Linked DNA regions of Rhinolophus ferrumequinum. The protein of the gene in region 3 interacts with the protein of the main gene of each other region in a pairwise test. Links are inferred from orthologs where the notes say so. Each region holds a gene or a part of one and is shown on either strand. Other genes may lie near its edges.

The links. The genes of interacting proteins can lie anywhere in the genome.
Region 1: the proteins of PSME3 (region 3) and TNFAIP8L1 interact in binary tests that used the Homo sapiens proteins (3 or more experiments, as listed by UniProt). The two-hybrid records come from large-scale screens. The link is inferred for Rhinolophus ferrumequinum from reciprocal best matches to the Homo sapiens genes PSME3 and TNFAIP8L1.
Region 2: the proteins of PSME3 (region 3) and EAF2 interact in binary tests that used the Homo sapiens proteins (3 or more experiments, as listed by UniProt). The two-hybrid records come from large-scale screens. The link is inferred for Rhinolophus ferrumequinum from reciprocal best matches to the Homo sapiens genes PSME3 and EAF2.

What each region holds. Positions count from the first base shown.
Region 1 is NC_046301.1:59,153,029-59,160,685, forward strand, and holds the start of TNFAIP8L1 (tumor necrosis factor alpha-induced protein 8-like protein 1), read right to left. Parts: upstream 3,015-7,657; 5' UTR 2,928-3,014; intron 1,747-2,927; exon of another isoform or gene 1,663-1,746; intron 1-1,662. UniProt on the Homo sapiens protein: Acts as a negative regulator of mTOR activity.
Region 2 is NC_046285.1:46,765,416-46,773,357, forward strand, and holds the start of EAF2 (ELL-associated factor 2), read left to right. Parts: upstream 1-4,928; 5' UTR 4,929-5,004; coding exon 5,005-5,101; intron 5,102-7,942. UniProt on the Homo sapiens protein: Acts as a transcriptional transactivator of TCEA1 elongation activity. Acts as a transcriptional transactivator of ELL and ELL2 elongation activities. Potent inducer of apoptosis in prostatic and non-prostatic cell lines.
Region 3 is NC_046304.1:38,472,050-38,479,515, forward strand, and holds the start of PSME3 (proteasome activator complex subunit 3), read left to right. Parts: upstream 1-4,401; 5' UTR 4,402-4,629; coding exon 4,630-4,671; intron 4,672-5,348; coding exon 5,349-5,381; intron 5,382-5,479; coding exon 5,480-5,542; intron 5,543-5,733; coding exon 5,734-5,838; intron 5,839-6,750; coding exon 6,751-6,799; intron 6,800-7,344; coding exon 7,345-7,457; intron 7,458-7,466. UniProt on the Homo sapiens protein: Subunit of the 11S REG-gamma (also called PA28-gamma) proteasome regulator, a doughnut-shaped homoheptamer which associates with the proteasome. 11S REG-gamma activates the trypsin-like catalytic subunit of the proteasome but inhibits the chymotrypsin-like and postglutamyl-preferring (PGPH) subunits.

The DNA of each region.
Region 1 (7,657 bases), on a different chromosome or scaffold from region 3:
TAGATATGGCCAAAGGGAAAGGGGCATCTACTTGCCAAAGGAGGGGGAGACACCAGCGGTTCTCAGAGTGGGTTTCCCAGAGCCCTTGGGGGCCACCCCTAGGACGGGCAGGGTCTGACCACCTGCAGGCTGCAGTGGAAGGCAGGACACTTTCAACTGTTGTGAGATTTCCACTGAAGAAAGTTTGGGGGCCAAACATGAATGTTGGGAGAAAACTGCCCAACCCCATGGAGGGAAGGACAGGACAGACTGGGACTCAGGCTCAGCAAAAGATTTTTAACAGCAAGTGGAGGCTTCAGGGTCACATGGCAGAATAGGGGTGCACCCCTAAATGAGTCCTGGCTGCACCCACTTCTCACCTCTCCACTGCCTCCGCCCTCGTCCCCTAGTCCCTCATGTCTGTCCTCCCCGCAGCAGCCACGAGAGGGCGCCTCTGAGCACCTGAGTCAGGTCCCACCCCTCCTTTGCCCACAGCCCTCCAGCGTCTCCACCATCCTCTGGGTTAAAGCCCAAATCCTCCACGAGGCCCTGCACGACCTGCCCTGTCCCCTGCCTGCCCTCACTTCCTCCCTGTCGCACTTGCTCACTCTGCTTCGCCCGCGCCCTCCCCTCGCATGGAATGCCCGTCCCCCCAGGTATCCACATGGCTGTTTCTTTGCTCTCATTCAGGCCTCAGCTCAAAAGTCTGCTCAGGAGGCCCTCCCAGAACACCCATTTAAACTAACTTCCCCATCCATCTGACTCTCCATCATCTTCATGCAGTTGCAATTAAGTATAATGATTTTTCTGGATGAATGGCTCTCTCCCAACCCCCAATCTTGGCTCACAGTAGGTACTCAGAACTTGTTTGTTGAATGAATAAACGATCTCTCAGTACCAGAGGGGCAGAGAGATCGCCTTCAAGGACGCCACTGTTTAGTCAGGGAAACAGGTCCAGAGAGAGACTGAGATATCCCAAGGTGACATAGTAGCTAGCACAGCAGCACCAGACCCTCTGGGGGTGGGGCTCCCCCAAGTGGACATTCCCCAACCTCTACCACCCCACTGGACAGAAGGGGAAACTGAAGCCTGGAGAACAGGGCTTCAGAAGATCTCAAGAACTCAGCCAGAGCTGCCTCTGTGAAAGCTCAGGAGGGTGGGATTCCAGAGGAAGTTGTCTTGTGGATGGGGTGTAGAGGATCCCAAGGGAGGTGTGCATACTGTGCACCTGGGCCAAGTCCTGCCAGCTCTGGGCCCCCACCTCTCCATCCTTAACACCTGGGGCTGCACCCAGACAAGCATGAATCATTATTCAGCATCTGACTTTGGGAGAAGGCTGTTTCCATGCCAACAGCTGGAGTTTTGTCCTAGGCATCTTCTCGTGACCCCATTTGACAGACAAGGACACTTGAAGACCCCTGAACCCACTTCCTCAGAATGCCAAGTAACCAAAAGGCCCCTCACCTGCCCAGGCCTCAGATGAGAAAACTGAGGCTCAGGGAACACCTGACATACTCAAGGCCACACAGCAGTAGGGGACAGCACAGGGCTTCAAATCTGCACCTACCTGACTAATCTCTTAGCTTAGGGACCTACTGTCCTGTCCCCCCACCCGACCCCACCCCACCCCCATCAGAGCAGGGTAGAGTCCCACACCTGCCCCCCAGGGATCTGGGGACTCACCCACCACTGGAGTCCCAGGCCACCAGAACTGCTAAGTGATAGAAGCACAGCCCAGGTGTTTGTGTGGCTGAGGCACAGCTCTTTGTTCCGGTTTCCATAGGTACAGCGTCCCTGGGCTGGCCCCTCCTCCGCCCCTCCCAGCCACCCAGCCCTTGCCTGGCATTCCCTTGGCCCGGCCCACCTCAGCAAGTTGTTATGTTTTAAAGTTGGCGCCTATGGGCCTGGCATGGCAATGGAGGAAACAGCCTGTGCAAAGGCCCTGAGGCAAGACCATGCCTGGTGTGTGAATGTGGAGGCTGCTGCAGCTAGAGCAGAGTGAGTGAGGGGGAGAGTAGGAGGAGTTGGGGGCCAGGAGGAGACAAGCAGGACCCACATACCTGCATTTAACCCTGGAAGCAGCCCTTATCCCCAGGGAGTTATGTCCCACCCCATTATACAGACTGGAAGCTGAGGCTGGGAGAATCCAATCATCCGTTCAAGGTACCATGGTGAGTGGCAGAGCGGGAACCCAGGTTTGTCTAATTTCAAAATCTGACCTCCCAACCACTTGCCAAACTACCCTCACTCAGCCGCAGCCCCTCAGGGCCTTCACCTTCCTCAGCTGGGCTCAGACATATTCAAGAGGCCTGTTTACATATGGGGCTGCACCCCCTCCAGAGGGCCCCCAGAATAGAAGAGGTAGTGATGTTTGCAGATATGGGACCGCTCACCCACCAATTACCTTAGCGGGTGACAGTCCCAGTTCACAGCTGGAAAAATTGAGGCCAAGGCTTCAGGCCACTGGGAAACTCCCAGATGGCCAGTCTGGGTGGGCTTGGCCTTGGCTCTCCCAACAGCCTGGACCAGCGGGAAGCCACACTCATTTCCACCTCCACACCTTTGGCCAGGCTGCCCACCACCTGAAATGCCCTCCTGACTCTGGAATCTGCCCTAGCACTTGGCGCCCTGCACGATGCAAGGAGCAGAGTCCATCCGAGTCCTCATGGTGGGGTGGGGGCAGTGGTCCCAGAAAACCGCCCCACGCCGGGGGGAGGGCATTTCAGACTCACTGTGCCTCCCCATAACCCATACAGCAAGAGAGTGCCATAGACACAGAGGGAAAGGGAGAAACAGAGGGCGAGGGCCAGGAAGAGGGAGAAGGAAATTCAGGCAGGAATTCAGACAGGGATGGGGAGGGAGTGGGGTTTGCAGGGGAATGGGGGGGCGGGAGAGAGACAGTGGGCGGCTAGGTGGCACCCGAGGTGCACCAGGCATCGCTCTGTCACCTGCTCTCCGGGGCCCGTCGTAGGTCCGACCTCCGAGGCTCCGTCCCGCCGCCTTCGAGGGGCCGTTGAGCCAGCCTCCTGACTTGCGCCTAATAACCGCGCGGGGCGGAGCGGGAAACTCAACCCCGCCCCACATCGCCCCGCCCCCACAGGGCCACGCCCCCCCGCTCTGCCCCCTCCCACGAAGAAAGGACCTAAGAGAAACCGGATGGTGAGGGGGTGGGCCGAAGACATGGTCTCAGCCAATGGTAGGGCGGGCGGTGTACGAAGAAGCCAATGGGAGGAGCTCATTGCCACGGGAGGGGGCGGGGCCTGGGACGGGCAGGCGGCTTGGGGGATTCCTCCGGAATATCGGAAGGGGCCGGATGCTGGGGGCGCGGCTGCTTTGGGGGCCCCGCTGAGAAAAGGGGAGGAAAAAGACAGAGTCGAAAACAGAGACCCGGGAGAAGAGAGGAAGGCTGAGCCAAAAAGAAAAACAGACCAACTTTGCGGTTTTGGACCGGCCCCCGATTCCCTCTGGGACTCAGTTTACCCACCTGAGTAACAGGAATTTGCGCAGAGCTTGTTTCTTAAAGTACGCCTGGGAACGCTTTACATCAGAAGCCCCTTAAAAATGCAGATTCCGCTACCCCCGGACGCGCTGAATCTGACCCAGAGTTGAAGATCAATCTTTCTTGGCTGCTGATAAATTCTTAGGATGAGGTTTTGAGGCAGTCGTTAAGTGGACAGGCCCTGGAGACCCCACCAGGGAAATCCCAGATCCATCCTCAATTTCCGTGGGAATAAGCCTCCTGGCCGCCAGCGGGTGGGGCCGCGGGGCCAGCTGGGCACCCCCCCCCCCCAGAGGATGCAGCTGTGAGTCCTGGGAACCGGGCCCAGGAGCGGCTCCCAGCCCCCCTGCCGCTCCGTTTCCTCCCCGCAACCCCAACCTGGGGGTCCCAGTTGCAGCTAGAGCCAGGGAAGGCCAGAGCAGGCTAGACAACAAATGTTTGGTCAATGCCTAGTCCTGTCCTGCGTGTGGGGGACACACAACCCTGGCACAGACCTCAGAAGGCAAAAATAAATGAAATGTCTCTTTATCCCATTTTGGAGGGGGAACTGAGGCCCAGAGAGGTGAAGTGAATTGCCTGGGGATATGCAGCACAAATGGCAGGGCCAGGATTCAAACCCAGGACTGCTTGGCCCACCTCCTTCCACCCACAGCTGCGTCCTACTCTCTCTAGTCCAGGGTTTCTCATCCTCAGCACTGTTGACCCTTGGGGCTGGTAATTCCTGCTTGTGGGGTAAGAGGGGCGTCCTGTGTACTGTGGGGTGTTGAGCAACGTCCCTGGCCTCCACCCACTCAATGCCCGAGTAGCCACCCCCACCCCAAGTCAGAACAACCAAAAATGTCTCTAGCCATTGCCAAGTATTCCCTGGGAAGCAGAATTGCCCCAGTTGAGACCTACTGTTATAGATCCATTTCTTCCTGCCCCCGAGCCCCAAATTATGGAGACCTCTTATTTGGATGATGGTAGCTAATGAGGGTCACAGAGGCGGAGGAAGCTGTTTTTAACACCTCGTCACACCAGAGCAGATTGTTCTGGTGAGTGCCCGGTGGGCATGGGCAGGCGTGGAGTGTGGCCCGGGCGGGTTCCATCCTGGCGTTGTCCGTATCTGCCTGCGTGTGTTCATCTCTCCGAGCCTGTTTTCCACACCTGTGACAGGAATAATAAACCCTACAGATCCACAAATAAGGCAATGAAGAAAAAGTGCCCGTGAGGATGTGAAGGAATTAGAACCTTTGAACGTTGATGGTGGGAATATAAATTGGTTCCACCTCTGTGGAAAAGTTCAGGGGTTCCTCAGAAAGCTGCTCATAGAATTACCACAGAACCCAGCAATTCCACTCCTAGGTATCTATCCACCCAATGGAGTGGAAACAGGGACTCAAACATATTTGTACAGCAATGTTGACAGCAGCGTCACAACAGCTAGGAGGTGGAAGCGACCCAAGTGCCATCCACAGATGATGGGTGAACACGGTGTGGTCCATCCAGACAATGGAATATTATTATTCAGACCTAAGAAGGAAGGAAATTCTGACACACATGGTACAACATGGATTAACCTTGAGGACATTATGCTCAGTGAAATAAACCAGACACAAAAGGACAAATACTGTGTGATTCTACTTATATAAGGTCCCTAGAGGAGTCGGATTCATAGGGACAGGAAGTAGATGGTGGGAGCCAAGGGCTGGGGGAGGGGTACGTGGGGACTTAGTGTTTCATGGGGACAGAGGTTCAGTTTGGGAAGATGAGAAAGTTCTGGAGATTGATGGTGGTGATGGTGATACAGCAGTGTGAATGTGCTTAATGCCACTGAGCTGTGTGCTTAGAAATGGTTAAAGTGGTAGACTTCATGTTACATATTTACCACAATTTTAGAAATGAGTAATTTAATATACCAAAACACTGAATTGTATACTTTAACTGAGTGGATTGAATGGGTGAATTATGTCTCAATAAACCTGGTTGGTTTTTTTTCAAGTGCCCAGCAGCACATCTGGTGATAATAGCAACAATGTGATAACTAGTATTTATTGAGCGCCTAATACGTGGCAGTCACCGTTAGCATTTTACATAAATTGACTCACTGAATCCTCTGTTAGCATTTTTACACTTTCTCAGTGATGCCGTTTGAGAAAGGCTTGACCAGCTGGCAGTTTTTACATAAATTAACTTACTGAGTCGTCACAGTGTAACCCTGGGATTACAAGTGTTCCACTTCACAGATGATGAAATTGAGGCTCAGAGGAAGCAAGTGACCTGTCCCAGGCCACTCAGCCAGGTCGCAACAGAGGTGATATTAGAACCTGGGACAGTCTGAGTGGGGTTGCCCCAGCTGTCCAGGGAGCTGAGGGGCTCCTGAGCCCAGTGAGGAACAGAGGCGCAGCTCGGAATTGGGGCTCAGCCTGGAGCCGGAGGCTCTATCCCGAGTGGGAGCTTAGCAGGTGTGGGGGCTGGATCCTGGTCCCCGAGGTCGTGGCTGCGCCGATTCCGGCCGTGACCGGCAGGGGGCATACTCTGCTCACAGGCGGGCGGGCAGCGCCTTCTATTTTCTGAATGTGTCGCCCCGCCGGGCGGGATCTGAGTGCGGCTTAGGGTGCCAGGTCCAAGTCACCCCAGAACCACCAAGCGTCACCTGCATCCCTGATTACAGACCTTACACCCCACCGAGCTGTGTGACACAGAGCAAATGACCCCCTTCTCTGGGCCTCTGCCGTGCGCAATGGGATTTCGGTGGTGGGGAGGAAGATGAGGAAAGAGAAAGCCTTTTCTCCAGGAGCCTCCGCGAACCCCTCGCTTGCCCGCTTACCCACTGCCCAGGCGGTTTGGGGGACTGGTGGTGGCGGTGACCAGAACACCCGCCTCCCATGCCTTAAGCTCAGGCGTAACTCCCACGTACCCGTGATCCACCTCTCCCCAGCCCATCTTGTCTATCAGGCGAGATCCTCCCAAGGCCATTTAAGAAGGAGAGTGGGTGGGCGGGCCCAGACGGGGACAGGATGAAGGGACGAAACTTGCTGGCGTCCCCACTGCAGGCCAAGCCTGGAGGGCTCTCGTAACTATACCAAGGGCCCCGAGGGTGGGGGACTGGCATCGTCTCAAGGTAATGGACTTGAGGTTAGGGTCACAGGGCCCTGGCGGGCGACACCCCCCCAGACAGGGAGGCAGAAGGAAGGTAGGCGGGAAGCTCCTAAAACAAATTCAGTCCTCTGCCTCCGTTGTACACACACACACACACACACACACACACCTCCCTTCCCGCTGAGGGAAGCAGCAAGTTGGCCCCAGCGGGAGGATGTATTTACAAGGGTCAGCCCTGCAGACGCCGGCTGGCTGGCTGCCTGCATGGGAGAGGTGGGCGTCTGCGCACAGAAACTCCTGGTGTGAATCTGTGTGCACACGTGTATGTGGGGGGGGTGTGGCTGGGGAGGGTTTTAGCCTTATCTGCTGCTGCCCTGAGGGTAGGGAGCCCCATGTCATTCCTGGCAGAAGGAATCTCCACTTTCTGGATGGAGCCTCAGTTGCTTCATCTATAAGATGGGTGCAGTCACAGCACCAGATTCAGAGATTTGTCCAACTCTGAGGACACAGTGGGCTCAGCAGAGGCCTGGCACACATGCACCGGCAGCCGCTTTAGGGCCATGATGGGGAACACGCAGGCGGCTGTGGGAGCTCAGACTAGGCACGTGACCACACCTGGGGGCCCAGGGAGGCTTCCAGGGGGAGGTGACAACTGAACGAAGACTTTAAGAAAGAGCAGGAGTCAACCATGGGAAGAAGCAGGAAGGAGGGTCCTTTTTATTCTTGGTTTGCTGACCTTGGGCAAATCACAGGTCCACTCTGAACCTGTGTTTCTTCATCTTTAAATCAGACTCATGATATCCACCTTAAGGGGCAGTTGCAAAGACTGGCTGAGGGGCTGCAGGAGAGTGTTAACCCATCAGGAGTGCCCAGCATGAGGACTGGTTAATATTATTTTGTGATTTTGTTGTTGTTGTTGTTCCCTGCCCTCAGGAGCTCCCAGGCTGTGGGAAGGAGGCATAAAGACACGTGAAAGGGCTGAAGTGAATAAAGGCACTCTGGCAGGAGCAAAGGTGCAGAGGTTAGGAGGCTCTGGGGCTGACAGGGAATAGTGTGTCTTCTGATCAGACCACAGGGACCCTCAGGACAGCAAACACT
Region 2 (7,942 bases), on a different chromosome or scaffold from region 3:
CTTGGATTTTAGGAGACTTCTATCATTTCCTAATAAGAATGGTTCACTGGGCCTAAACTGTTTGTAAAAAACAATGTGATTTATGCTGAACGACTGCTTTCCTTTCTGAAGTTTGGAATTCTGGTACATGACAGCAGAGGATGCCTACACAACCATCCTCCAATAAAGACTCTAGTCACTAAGTCTCTAGTGAGCTTCCCTGGTAGAGAACACTTCAGTATGTTGTCATAACTCATTGCAGGAGAAATTAAGAATGTCCTATGTGAATCTACTAAGAGAGGACTTTTGGAAGTTTGCACCTGTTTTCCTCTGGATTTCGTCCCATGGTCTTTTCCTTTTGTTGATTTTGCTTTGCATCTTTTCATCACTATAATAAATCACAGCCATGAATATGACTATACCTTAAGAAGTGTGAGCCCTCCTAGCAAATCACTGAACCTGGGGTTGGTCTTGGGGATCCCCAACACACAACTCAGAAACGTTATGTAATTATAAGATAGCCAAAGCTTCTTTATAAATAGCATACTGAATAAAATCAATAATCTTAAAATTAAAAAAATCCACATCCTAATTCAATTTGTTTCTAAAATTACCTTTATAAAAAAGTTTTAAGGTATTCAAAGATCAAAGATATCATATTTTTAAAAAAGTATACTCTTTACTTAGTAATAATTAACAAAAGCTAACATATATTAAGTGTTTACTATGAACTAAGCACTGTGCTAAGTACTTTTATAAGCATTACCATATTTAATCTTCACAACAGGACTACAAGGTAGAGCCTGTAATCATCTCCATTTTACAGATGAGAAAAATCAAGCTTGAAGAATTTAAACTGGACATGGTTCCACCATGATGTGGTAGAGTCAGCATTCAAATCCAGATCAGTCTAACTCCAAAGTCTGTGGTTTTAATTACAATGTTCCTAATATTCCTTCCCATGTAAAACATAAAAACCACAAAACATATTCCAAAATTACCTACTTCTAACTCACTTTTTTAACTATTATTCTTCGTAACTTCCCATCCTTTATATTGAAAAGTTGGCCATAATAAAAGACATCCAAAAAGCATCCCTTATTAGGTAAAATACAAATCATTAAAAAAAAAAAATCTGGAAATATTTTAAAGAAATCCCAGCACATCCTGGCACACAGCAGAGATAAAACTTTCCAAAGGTGTAGCTACAGAGGTATTTTATTCTTTCCGATGGCTGCATTATGCAATGCTTCCTTTGTAAGAGTACGTCAAAACACAGTAGTCCCCCCTTCCTTATCCGCAGTTTCACCTTCCATGGTTTCAGTTACCCACAGTCAACCATGTTCCAAAAATATTAAATAGAAAATTCCAGAAATAAACAATTCATAATTTTTAAGTTGCAACACCATTCTGAGTAGCATAATGAATTCTTATACTGTCCCTCTCCCTCTTGCTCTGGATGTAATCATCCCTTTTGTCCAGAGTCTCCATGCTTCCTGCCCGTCAGTCACTTACTAGTAGCCTATTCAGTGATTAGATTGACCGGCATGGTACTGCAGTGCTTGTGTTCAAGTAACCTTTATTTTACTTAATAATGGCCCCAAAGCACAAGAGTGGTGATGTTGGCCAATTGAGATATGTCCAAGAGAAGCTGTAAAGTGCTTCCTTTAAGTGAAAAGATGAGTACAGTACAGTAAAATGTTTTGAGAGACCACATTCATATAACATTACAATACATTGTTATAATTGTTCTATTTTATTATTAGTTATTGTTAATCTCTTATTGTACTTAATTTATACATTAAACTTTATCATAGGTATGTATGTATAGGAAAAAATATAGTATACCTATTTAGGGTTCAGCACTATCTATGGTTGCAGGCATACATGGAGGGTCTTGGAATACATCCCCCATCGATAAGGGGAGACTACTGTATATGTAAACATCCTCTCTATTGTAAGTTATTCAGAGTGTATGCTATGATAAACAATGATGCAACGAACAGCAATGTAAAATGTCCTTATGCACACATGCTAGTACTCTGTAGGATCAATTTTCCTGAAAGGTGGATGGCTGGGTTGCAAGATACATATTTTTTAAATTTTGATATGATCCCAAATTTTTCTTCAAAATGGGTGTCCCGATTTATACTTCCACCGATAATGTACAAGGGTGCTCACTTACTATACCTTTACTAATACATCATTATCTTTTATATTTTTGCCAATTTGCTAGATGAAAAATGGTATTATCTTTTTAAATCTGTATTCATTTATTAGGAAGGTTAGGCACATTTCATATCCACTGCTATTTCTTCTTTTATGTATCTTCTGTTTGTATCCCTCAACTACTTTTCTATTGACTTGTCTTATTCTTTTGCAGAAGCTTTAAGAACACTTTATCTTTTATATTGACTGTAAGCCACTTTCTTCTTGTCTGCCATTTATTTTTCAAAGTTTGATTATGGTGCCTACACCATAGTTTTACAATTTTTATGTAGGCAAGTATAACAATCTTCCCCTCTATGGCTTCTGCCATTGGTGTCATGCTTAGAAAGGTCCTACTTACCTCAAGAGCTAAAATTTATTCTCCTAATTTTTCCTAGTGTTTTATGGTTCTGTTTTATTTATATCTTATTTAACTTATATCTTTATTTATGTCTTCAATACACTTGTAAGATATTTTTGTGAATGGTGTAAGATAGGAATCTAAAATTTTTAAGTTAGATGAGGTTATAGATTAGTGAAAAAAGAACAAATGCACATAGCTGTCATAAATTCCTGAGGTAATTAATGATGAATAGATATAACAGAAGCAATCTGAAGTGCCACCTGGGTATATTTTTGGATTCTATTTAGTTCATTAATCTATTTGCTTATTCCTAGGCTAGTACACATTTTAATACATGTTTGAAAAAGTTCACACTAAAAGGTAAGCTTCATGAAGGCGAAACTCAGACTACCCTTGATGGCTGCCTTCTTCTCTCTGGTTCACTGCTATATCCCCATAGGCTAGACTAGTGCCTGCATACGGTAGGTAGGTACTTAATAAATATATGTTGAAAAAAATGAATAAATGTACAAACTTTGGGTATTCCTAAACTCAATTTCTTGACCTTCTGCTCTTCTTCTTGTTATAAAATGTAAACCACAGATTTCTGGTAGGAAGCCTTGTTTAGGTAAAATAGGCTTAAAACATTGTCCTTGCCTTCTGGGTACCACAATAAAACATCACTGAAACATTATTATCATCACCAAACATGTGTGGAGCACTATGGTAGATGCAATGGTCACAAAGATTTTATATAGGACACACTCCCTGTTAATGGTCTGGTTGGGAAGGAAAAGTATACACACACACAAATATGTATATGTAAAATAAAATACTTAATTATACAAAATATGTTAGGCCAAATAGATGACACAGAAGTTAAGACTACAGACCATAGAGTCAGAGGATTGGGCTTCCTTGAACCAGTTTTCTCATCTGTAAAGTAAACAAAAAAGCAATTCCTACTTCCTAGATAATAGAATAATTCAAGATTTAGAATAAAAGGCAGGCACCAAGGATGGTCCTAAAATGTTGCATGACAGTAGAGTTAAAACTCAAGAATAATAACCATTTGGAGAGCTTTTATTATATGCCATGAATTGTTTTAAATGCTTTTATGTATTAACTCATTTAATTCAACGACTCTAAGGTGTAAGTACTATTATTATTTCCCTTCCAATTACAACTGATGAGCATACTTAACTTTGGTTTGCACAATGTCATACTATAAAATATGAAGCGGGAGTTCAAACCCAAAGATTCTTGCTCCAGAATCTGAGCGCTTAACTGCCCCATGAAACACCCTTAGTACGCCTTAAAAGGGTCGAATTTGAACAAGCAGGTTACGGGAGACACATTCATCTACCTGCCTGGAATAAATTGGTAAGTTTGGCTAAAGTAGAAGTTCAGTAAGGGAGAAGAGTTTGATTACATAATTATGCTGAAAAACAACCACCCGTTATGGTAACCATTTGTAAACTTCCTTTAGAGTGACTGTCCTCTGATACAACACTTCTCTCATCTTTACCATTAAACTCATGAATTTTTGACAGGAAAAAAATACAATTATTTTTCAATTACTAATACTATTACCCTGTTTTCCAGAGCACGAGCTCCGGCCTTGATACTTTGGGAATCTGGTCTTCTGGCCGTGTAGTTACTGCTTCCACGGATCACTGTGAAAGAAAGAAATAAGACAACACAATGCAATCTAGTTGCAACTGATCCTAAACATGTGAAGTTCGTAACTTCTAATCTTTTTTGCCCCACCCTCCACGTGCCCTGACCTTGTCGGTCCTAATAGTACCTGGAACTTCCCCTAGAACAGGTCTGAAAACGATTGCCTAGGTAACGGCGTCACCTTCCAGGCAGGTCCAAAGACCCAGGCTCTGAGGCCGCGGGGCTCCTGTACTCCGGATTCTAGGCCCAGCTTTGGCGCTACCAGGCCTTGGACCCAGAATCCGCTCCTCCCCCGGCCTCAGTTTCCACACTAGATCTCCACAGAAAGCGTGAAGTAGGCCGATTCTCCCGGTAAGAGCTCCTACATTCCAGGTCACTTGGCCCAGAGGTGCGGGATCCCGGCCTCTTGGTACCTCGAGGCCGTCTCAGTCCCCAGCCACCACCTCAGGTCCGTTACCTCATTCTCGCACAGCGTTCCTCCACCAAGGAACCCTTCTCCCACCACGCACCTCAGTTGCGCGGCGTTCTCCCCGCGGCCAGCGTCGCAACGCGGGAAGGGGCGTGGAGGCGGGACCACGAGCTCGGAGCCAAGGGGCGGGGCGTCCTTCTCCAGCCAGCCAATCAGCACGCGAGAGGCGCCCGGTGGGGGAGCGCGCGTTGGGCGGCGGGGCGGAGTCTGTCGTAGCTCCGCCCGCTGCTGCTAATGCAGCTGGTTTAGGCTGAGGTGGCAGAAGGTAGGGAGCGCTAGTTGACGGAGGAAGAGTCGGAGGCGAAATCGGAGCCGAAGGATAACCATGAATGGACCCTGGCATATCGACAGTCGCGAGCGGGTTCTCAAGTTAGGCGCCAGTTTTGAGAAGCAACCGCGCTGCGCCTTCCACACTGTGCGCTGTGAGTGTGGACATCCCGGTGGAAAAGGGGGAGCTCTGGGTGTGGGTGTGTGGAGGCACAAAAGTCTCCGAGTTGTATTCCCATCGACCCACCTTATTCTGCGGGAGAATAGGGTCCCCAGCGCGATCCACTACCGGACCTGGAGTCCTAGGGGGTCGATGGAAAAAGCCGGAGTTGAGCAGGTGTGGGTAAAACCCTGACAGAGAGATATAAGTGAAACCAGCAGGAAGAAAGGGAAACTTTGTGGAGATCTCCAAGGGTGACTGAAGACAGTAGTAACTGATGGATGATGCAGAGGTGGAAAGGAAAATAGTAAGGTGCCAAATGGAAGGGAGCAAAGGACGGAGCCGTTATGCAGGGGAAAGGAAATGCCTTGAGGCTGATGGGGAAATAGTGTCTCCTTCACTTTTTCTGTGTCTGGCTAATGAGGGTTCTTACTTAGCGCGTTCCTAGGGAGAGATTCTAAACTATTTCAATAATCTGTATCTCTTTTGGACCCCTGATTTCACTCAGTAAATTAGCAAATATTGATTATCAAAGTATTGGAGGGTGTGTTATTGATTTCCTTATTGGAAAGATATTTACCTCCCTATGATTTCTCCCTTTGATTTCCTTTTGGTCGTCCTCTGGAATGAGTTTTGATAAATTATGCACTTTTATGTTGTTGAGGTAGAAAAGGGAGGTCTTTTGCTTTAATGGTTGGATGGTATACACTACAGGAAGGAAAAGTATAGCATATTATGATTTGGTATGTAAAACATTCATTCTTTGCATGATAGCCCTCATAAAATTATAGAGTGGAAAGGAAACTTTGAGATCATTGAATCATAACCTATTTTTTCTATGGCAAAATTAGTAAAGTAAGTATTTTTTCACTTTCTTTCACCAGTTCTGCCCTTCCTTAGTGTCTCATCATTCCACTTTTCTTACAGTTATTCTGTCCTCAGACCGTATACAGGTCTTTATTGTTTTATCCTGAAGTATTCCATGCGTCAACTGAAACTTACAACCCCCAAAAGTTTACTTAAGTTCTAGACAATCTAATTATAGTAACTCACAGTAAAGGTATGAAGAACCAATAGATTTCTAACATTCCAAGGATGTCCCAGAGGTTCCAAAAAAATTTATACAAGTGGACAAGTTGTTCAACGTTGCTCAAGCAGAACTTCGCCATAATCAGAAGTGACTGGATGGTGATGGTAACCACTTTGAGCACCTCTTGTAATTGCAGAAGTCACACGTGACTTGTATTCATCTTTTGTTATCAGTATAAAGTATTACAATTTTAATAGTTTTCCTTTCTTAAAATGTGTATACATTTTTTGGCACCCTCTGTATTTACATTTTATAAAGGGATTTATTAAGCAAAATTAATATCCAATTGATAGAATAAATGGAGGAGATATTTGCAAGCAGAAGATCTTAAACAGTGACCCTTGATTATTCTTTTTCTCTCTACTCTGTTGTCCAAAGCTCCCCATAGTGAGATACCTAGTGCTGGCTATGCAGTTTCTTTCCTTCTTCAGTCCCATTTTATAAAAGTGTATTATAGTTCTTAGCTGGTTTCTCCCTGCCTTTCTCTCAAATATTATCTCCTCTCCTCTTTCTTTTTTTTTTTTTAATCAGGTATGCAGTAGTCTTAATTTTTCAAATTACAAGGTTTAAGATTATAAAAATTTGCTCAAAATATGTTTTTATGTAACTTGGGTATATACTCTCTTTAAGGCCATGAACCCCAAATTAAGTGAATAAAAGGAGCCTTTGAAAAGCACTTTGCAGGTGCTTTAGAGCTTTTCATTTATAAAAGTTCTCAAAATGCAGGAATTGTGTCTTCAGAATCAGATGATCCATCTACAAGAATGAAAATAAACAAAAATAAAACAATAACAACCACAATAAACCCAGATCTTTGAATATACTCTTAGTCCTGTGGAAGACATTAGAACAGTTTTCAGCCCTTAGTTTTATTCTTGTTGAAGCAGGCAAACTCTTTTTAGATTTATTTAAACAAAACCAGCCATTATTCTTGATAATAGGTTCATTTCTCATATCCTCACTCTTAAGGATGCAGTGAGGGAAAGAAACTATAGAATGGGAGATCTGACTTTGATACAGAGCAGGTGCATAAACGTCAGTGTAATCTGGGAGAAAGGAACATTCTGTCTTTATGTACAGGGGTAATTATACCAGTCCAATATGCTGAGGCTTTGGAAAAACTTGTGAGTTCTGGCCTCTACTATACATGTAATGTAACTTTGGGAACATTCTCTAAGCCCTCAGCCTCGGGTTTTTTAATATGTAAAATGATAATATTAATATCTAAATTTCAGGGTCTTTTAAGGATTAAATAAAGTAGCATAAACAACCTAGCACATTATTTGGTGCATGGCAGAAAATAAATAGTAGGAACCATTATTCTTGAAGGTTTATTCATGTGTCTATTAGGAATGCCAATTAATGTAATTTACTAAGACTTTCAAAAGCATTTATCAGGCCTTAGCAATAAAACCTATCAAAAAAATAATCTGCATGTGGTAAGGAAGACATGGGATGTTCTGTAAATGATAAGCTAAATGCTTTGCAGCAGATGTTTCACTGGGTAGAAGAGTTTGAGTAACAGGACTCACCGAATAAATTTTGGATTTGGGCTAGTACTAGTTTTACAATTTATATCCAGATAAGGGAATAAACATTGAAATTTCTAAATTTTGTAAATGATACCACTTTTTGCTGTCACAAAATGATGAGTTCATGGGCATTAACTATACGGAGATGGTCTGAGGCATCAAGTGCAGCCACTCCCCCCAAAAAACGGTTGTTAAGCTTTGGTGTTAGAAAATA
Region 3 (7,466 bases):
CATTTGAGTAGTTGCCTGTTGCCACACAGCAGCCTACCCGTCTGTCCCCATGTACCTGCCCCTAAAGAAAGGAGAGTCTGTGAGCCAGATCCTTTCAGGGACTTTGCTTCACCTTTGTGCTTGCACCTTATGTCTCCCTGTTTGGCCCCAAAAAGATGGCTCGTCAGCCAATGATGAGTAAGATTCCCCATGGGGGGGGTGCGGGGGGCGGACAACTGAAGCCAGGCGCAGTCGAGTGGGGACCAACAGGAGAACCCACGGGGTTCATAGAGGAGGGCACATCCCCTACCCCCCCCCCCCCCCCACGGAGAGCCTCTGCCTCTGTGGCTGCATTCCTTCCCACAACCTGCAAGGGAAGAGATTCAATGGTGTGCTCTCCATCTATTCATATGCATAAAGATTTTGTCCCTTGGGGAAGTACATACTTCCTGAGACTTAAAGTTCAGCTGCCTGCAGGCAGGGGTGATTGGCTTGAATCAGTTTCCTGCTGTGATGTGTGGGATTCACAGATCTTGAGATTGACAAGCTTTATCTCCTTTACTTCCCCACCTAAGTAATAAAAACTAGGCGTTTGCCCCATTCGGGGCCCAGTCCTTGAGGCTGGAGTTCCTTGGCCACACTTACACTCTATTCATGGCTAGTCTTTTCTTAACCCTGCGCCACCCTCCTCGCTCCCCACAACCCTCGTCGACAGTTGTCAGTTGAGGCTATTGTGAATAGTGGTGTTATTAACATTCTTGTTTGTGTTCTTGGTGAATATATTTATGCATTTCTGTTGGGTATGTTTCTAGAGTTCGGATTTCTGAGTCACATATATATATAGAAATATGTATCTATATATTTATTGTTTTAGTAGATACTACCATAACTATGGTTGACATATTAAAAGATAATTTGGGTGTGAGCAGAGAATAGAATGTATCAGTGGGGGTGGTGGCAAGAGTGAAAATGGAGACTCGATTGTCCATTGTAATAGTGTTAGCAAAGGATGACAATGGCTTTGAGTAGGATAACAAGTGAGGAGATGGAGAAAAGCATACTCATACAGGATTCATTATACAGGTAAAGCTCACAGGAACTGCTAATGGTTGAATGTGGGGAGATGAGGAAAAGAGAGGAATCAAGGTTGATAATTAGATGTCTGAGTAACTAGGTGGACAGTCATGTCAGTTACTGAGATGGGAAAGAGCAGGAAAGAAAGAGGTATGTGGGAGAACTGAGAATTCTGTTTTGGCCATATTAAGTTTGAGATGCCCATTAGCTATCCAAGTAGAGATGTCAAGTAGACAACTGGAGCTGTTAGATGTAAGGAATGGAGAAATAAATTTAGGACCACCAGCCTACAGGTGTTGAGTACTGAAAGATTCAAGAAAGATGGAGAAGTGACCCCTGGTGCTGTCAATATGGAAGTCATTGGTAACCTAACCAGAACTATCTCAGTGATAACATGGAATGGGAACGCCTGATTGGAGTGGAGTAAATGGGAGATGAGGAAGTAGCATGAGACAATAGTATCATTCAAGAAGTCTTGCCATAAAGCAGAGCACAGAAACAGAGTGATAGCGAGAGGAATCTGTGTTCAAGGGAGGGTTTTTCTCAAGATGGGAGATATTTATCATGTTTGGATGAGGTCCAGTTGACAGAGATAAATGTAATACAGGAAAAATGGGTAATCACTGAAGCACAGATCTTGAGAAAGTGAAAGGGGATGTGTTCCAACGCACAAAATGAAGAGTTGGTTTTTTTGATGGGAATGGGATGTTTCCTTCAACGAGAGGAGGAAAGGCAGAAAGCATTTGCAGGCTGGCAGATTTGGTGGTGAAATGCAGTGCTCATTTGCTTCTGTTTTCTCAGTGAAGAATAAGTCAAGACCATAAATTGGAGGTGGGAGAGGAGGGCTATTGGAGGTTTAGGGCGATGAGAAGTTATGATAGACATTCAGAGTGCGGAAGAGTAAACTTGTCAGAGGCATGTAGTAGGATCTCGGGTAGTGTTGTGCACCCATTTGAGATTTGTGGACATGAATTTAAAGTGAGACCAGTTCTCAGTGATCACGTTTGATTCATAAGTACCCAGAAATGAACAGAATTTGTTACATATAGCGGTGCCTTCAGCAATTGTTTATTCAACTGAATAAATAAACAAACGAGTAGAGTATTATATAAAACATTTGGATAAGGGAGGAGGTAGGGAAAGAGAGAAGGAATGTGTGTCTTATTACAACCTACTTGAAGAAGACAAAACACAATTATCTGAGAACAAAGCCATATTTCAACAAGCACAAACAGTAAGTTTTCAAGTTGAAGTTATTAATGCTGAAAGAAATGCAGGATAATGGCATACTTAAAATAGGGTGAAGTTAATTTGGGAAAGCATTCCTGAGGTTCCAGATCAGAATTTAAAAATTACTAGGGACAAGTGTTATAGAAAAAAGAGGAAAAAGGGGAAAACGTTAGATGTTAATAAGCCACATAGGTAATAATGGCTATGTTGTATGTAGCCTTGAACAACTGGAAAAGCACTTTTGAGTCTGAAAGCAGGGATGATAATTATATAGTTTAAGGGGTAACCTCTTCATGCTAAGCATTAACAGGTAACTTATCTGATAATGGCTACTATGTATCTAGTACCTGCCTTGTGTCCTGGTACTGCACTAGTTCTTTTACATATGTATGATTTCCAACACGACAACCTTAAAGAATTACACATTATTTATTAATGATTGAAATTCCACTTGACAGATGAGGGAACTGACACTCAGCATTTCAGTAATTTTACCAAGCCATCACAATTAGTAAAGAGCTGAGGTGGGATTTGAAGCCATGTCTCTCGGATCCCAAAGGACATAGTCAGTTGCACTTCATTTAACTATGTATTCCCACCATTTCCCTGGCACTTAGCACAGAGGCCTGCCCAGGATAAATGTTCGGCAGCAACGGTGACCCCAAAATGTAAATCAGATGACCTGACCTGCCTTTGCACTTAATCCCAATTGTTTCCTAATAACCCTCCCCACCCCCTTCTCCCTACTATCCCAAGTTCACTAGTTTTTCCATTTCTTCAATAGGACCCTTTTCAAGTATTTGCCTGTGCTGCACATATACCCTTGAAGGCTCATCCGCTCACTCTTCCCACGCTAACCCCTTTATATCCTTTAGACCTCAGCATCATTGTCACTTCATCTGAGAGGCCTTCCTTGGCCATTCTATCTAAAATAGACCCCTGGTATATTTTCTACATCAGTCATTTGTTTCCTAACGCTTACCAAATTTTGTAATTATGTCGTCAGTTTACTTTCTGGTGTCCTTCCCCAGGATTAAGCCCCATGAGACCGGAGAACTTGAGTTTTGTTTACCTTTGATTTCCCAGAGCTGTGCTGTTCAATACACAAGGCACTAGTCACATATGGCTATTCAGTACTGCAAATGTGGCACTTCTGAATTGAGATGCGCAATGAAGTATAAAATTCATACCAGATTTCAAAAGACTCAGTATCAAAAAAGAATGTACATTATCTCATTAATAGTTTTATGTTGATTACACCTTGAAATGATATTTGGATAAATTGGATTAAACATGATTACAATTAATTTCACTTGTTTACTTTTTAGTGTGGTTCCTAGAAAATTTTAACTTACATAAGTGACTCACGTTAAATTTCTAGACTCTAAGGCAGTATTGTCCCAGAGCCTAGCAGTGTCCTGGCCCATTTTATTGAGCGGAGTAATCAATGTTAAGAGACAGACCGAATGAATGGGTGAGTGAAGAGACAGAGTTTCTGCCTTCCTCTAGGAAAATGGATACAGGATTGTCCTAGAAGTCAGGAGACCAGGGTATCTGGTCCAGGATTTACTGGAATCACTGTGTAGCCTACACGACTCCGGGTGTCAATTTGCTCACGAGGCAGTTGATTTCAGAGGTCTGAAAGTGTATGAGAATAAGTGGCGGAGGAAGGTGGGGAAGCCTGGTACAACACAGCTCGTCTTCTGCTTGGCTCTAGCCTAGCCTAACACTAGAGCTAAGGCTAACGAGAGGCGGCAGCAGGAATCACAGGCGAGACCCCGCGAAGCCAGCGCCGGGACCGCCGGCTTCCTGGGTCTGACGTCACTGGGGCGCGACGGCGTCGTCGGTCCTGCCCTCGAAGAGGCAGCGGCTAAGGTCTCTTCGATGAAGACGAGTGCCGGGCTAACGGAGAGTCAAACAGTTCCCGAGTCTCTCTGAGACTCAATTCTCAGTAAATCAGTCTCCACCACCCTTCCTCTTACTGCCCCCTTACCAGGCACAAGATCCCGGGAGATGTAAGCCGGGCGGGAGAGTCCAGCACCTACCTTCAGCGCGGCTGCGCAGAGCACGTGCGCATCCTCCCCGGAGTCCCGGCTATTGGCTGTGACGTAACTTCCGTCGTGAGCAGCGAAAGCCGGGAGGGCGAGCAAGAGGGAGCAGGCAGCAGGCAGCTGGCCCCAGGCAGGCGGGCAGACGGCAGAGGGGGGGAGCGAGCGAACAGTGAGTGAGCCAGCGAGGGCGGACGCGTCCCAAGAGCAGCCGAGATTCCTCCCGTCTCTCTGACCCCCTCCCCGGAGCCCACAGCGCCTCCGGTCTCCAGCGGAGCGGACACGGCCCGGCCCGGCCATGGCCTCGCTGCTGAAGGTGGATCAGGAAGTAAAGCTCAAGGTAGCGGCACCGGTCTGGGCCTCCGTACCCCTTGCTTCGATCCCCGAGCAATCTGACCGGCTCCCCACACCCCGTGGCGTCTTTGTCTCTCTGGGGACACCAGCTCTGAGCTTCCGCTAGGCTCAGCCCAGCCCCCCACTCCCGAGATGGCTTCGGGGGAGAGGATAATATAGGGTGGCCCTCAGTACCTCGTTTGGTGATGGAGAGCCCCGGGGAGACTTCCGCAGACACGTGGTCGACTCAGTGCTTTATGCTAGTGACAGCTGGATGTTCCCAGCCCGCAACATCCCCGCCTCCGGAGGCCGCCGCTGCCCCTGCCATTGGCGTCAGTCCTACATCATGTCATAGGCTGGGGCTGGATGGGGGTTGGCACGTTTATGAGTTCACACCTCCCCTATCTACTTGTCTTTTGTCTGCTCTCAAACTCAGACAGCCTCAGACACAGGGAGGGAGGGAGGGAAGACCGGCAGGTGTTGACCTCAAGCCCTGCTTCCCTCTCCTGAGATGGAGAAATGGGTCCTCAAAAAAATAAAGTATTTGCAATCTGGGGGCCTCGCAGCTTCTCATTACAATAACAAGGTGAGGGAAAGACAGCTAGATTTGGGTTTCCCTACCCAGCCCATACCTCTTGCCAGGTACCGACTTTCTGTTACTGAATTGCTCTTTGTTAATTTTAGGTTGATTCTTTCAGGGAGCGGATCACAAGTGAGGTGAGTGAAATAAATAGAATAATTGGGAGTTTCCCAAAGGAGAGATGACTAGAGAGAGACCATCCCACAATTATTAATGTATTTTCCCTCATCTTTAGGCAGAAGACTTGGTGGCAAATTTTTTCCCAAAGAAGTTGTTAGAACTTGATAGTTTTTTGAAGGTGAGAGACCTTTTTCTTTTCTGCAGATTCCCCAATTATTTTGGCCCTGGTCCTTCTGTCAAATGGGACAAATCATGTATTGATTCTGTTTGCTTTGTACTGTAAAGCTCTCTCATTTCTTGCCCTTCACGTTCTTTGTTCATCTTGAAAAGACTAATGTTTTTTTTGGGGGGTGGGCTTCTCTCTTTTAGGAACAAATCCTAAACATCCATGACCTAACTCAGATCCACTCAGATATGAATCTCCCCGTCCCTGACCCCATTCTTCTCACCAATAGCCATGATGGACTGGACGGTGTAAGTGTCCTATATTTATCTTTGTGTTCTGAAGCAATAGATTTTCTGTCCTCTATTTCTTGGTCAGTTTGAACATGTACAAAGGAGACAGTGGGATTTGGATCTGGGAATGAGGACTTTCACAGACATGATGACTCCAATACACCCCCTTTAGACCCTGATTTTCATTTATAGCATGGGGTGAATTTGCTAATGCTACTCTGTGTTAGCGTGAGTTTCAAGTAGGACTGATAGCTACCGGTTCCCTCAGGTTATCTGGTCTGTCCTCATGGCTCTAAGCAAGACTTTGTATCTGTTTCAATGTCTTGAGTCTTGTTATGGGATCAGTAGTTTTTTTTGGTGTATAACTGTAGTCACTATCTTTACTGTACATCTTTAGTGCCTAGTCTTTATCAGTTAGTTATATGTCCACATTCTGTAACACCGATGACACTGTATTGTTCTTTGTCTGCATTTTTGTCTCACTGGTAGGACTTGCAATTCTGGAAAGCAGAAACTGACTTAATCATCTTTGTATCCCCAGCACTTAGCATTGTTCCTAGTACATAGCAGGGGCTAAATACGTGTTCGTTGATTATTATGTTTCCTTGTGGAACCAGCAGATTTGTACATATTCCCTTAATTTTATTTACCCTACATTGACTAGTTATTTTTTCCTATTGTTTATAGTATCCACCCATCTCCTCTAATTTCTTAATATGGTAATATTTCTTGAAAGGTTGGTTTTACCAGTGAGAACGTAAGTTGCTTTGCGGCAAGAACCTTTTCTTAAAGCCTTGTATATGCTTAGTAAGTTGTACCTAAATTAATAACTGTGGCGTCACAGAAAGGATTAAACTTGCTTGAAGAGTAACTTGTGATAGGCATGTAAGTGTTGCGAGCAGCCTAATTCCTGTCTCTTTACATCCTTAGCCCACTTACAAGAAGCGAAGGTTGGATGAGTGTGAAGAGGCCTTGCAAGGTAAGAGCCATCCTGCCTCACCCCACCCACTCCCTGGCTTGCAGCTTTGAGAAGCAGGATGGAGCTGGTGTTCTCCTGGCCTGGAAGCAGGATCTGATTTTATTTCCCAGAGATCCCATTCCCGAGTCTTCCAAACATGGTCATGATTTAGCACTCTCAATCTAATTTTCCGGTAAACGGAGGGTTTGACCTTGAACTGCCAAAGAAGAGAGGTTGAGGGTGGCTACACGTTGCAGATTTTTCACAGAAGTCCCAGTTTGTGTTATTTTTTTCCTTTTCAATTTAATAGTTGGCACATTAAGTCTTTAGAGCATATTTTAATTTCCTTATTCTTCAGACTTTGAGCATACTTGAGACATTCATTTGTTAATCCATACGTTTTCTCTTTTTGATTCTGTTGGTGGTGTCATGGTTTGTAGATAGGGTTGTGACAGATAAAAGGCAGAGGTCATGGCATCTCATGGGCCTGGGGAGAAAGAAAGGTCGGGGGGTGCTATGTCCTGCCCCCCACCCCAATCATTTGGCCTTCTTCATGTCCCTGCCAGGAACCAAGGTGTTTGTGATGCCCAATGGGATGCTAAAAAGCAACCAGCAGCTGGTCGACATTATTGAGAAAGTGAAACCTGAGATCCGGCTGCTGATTGAGAAATGCAACACGGTGAGGCAG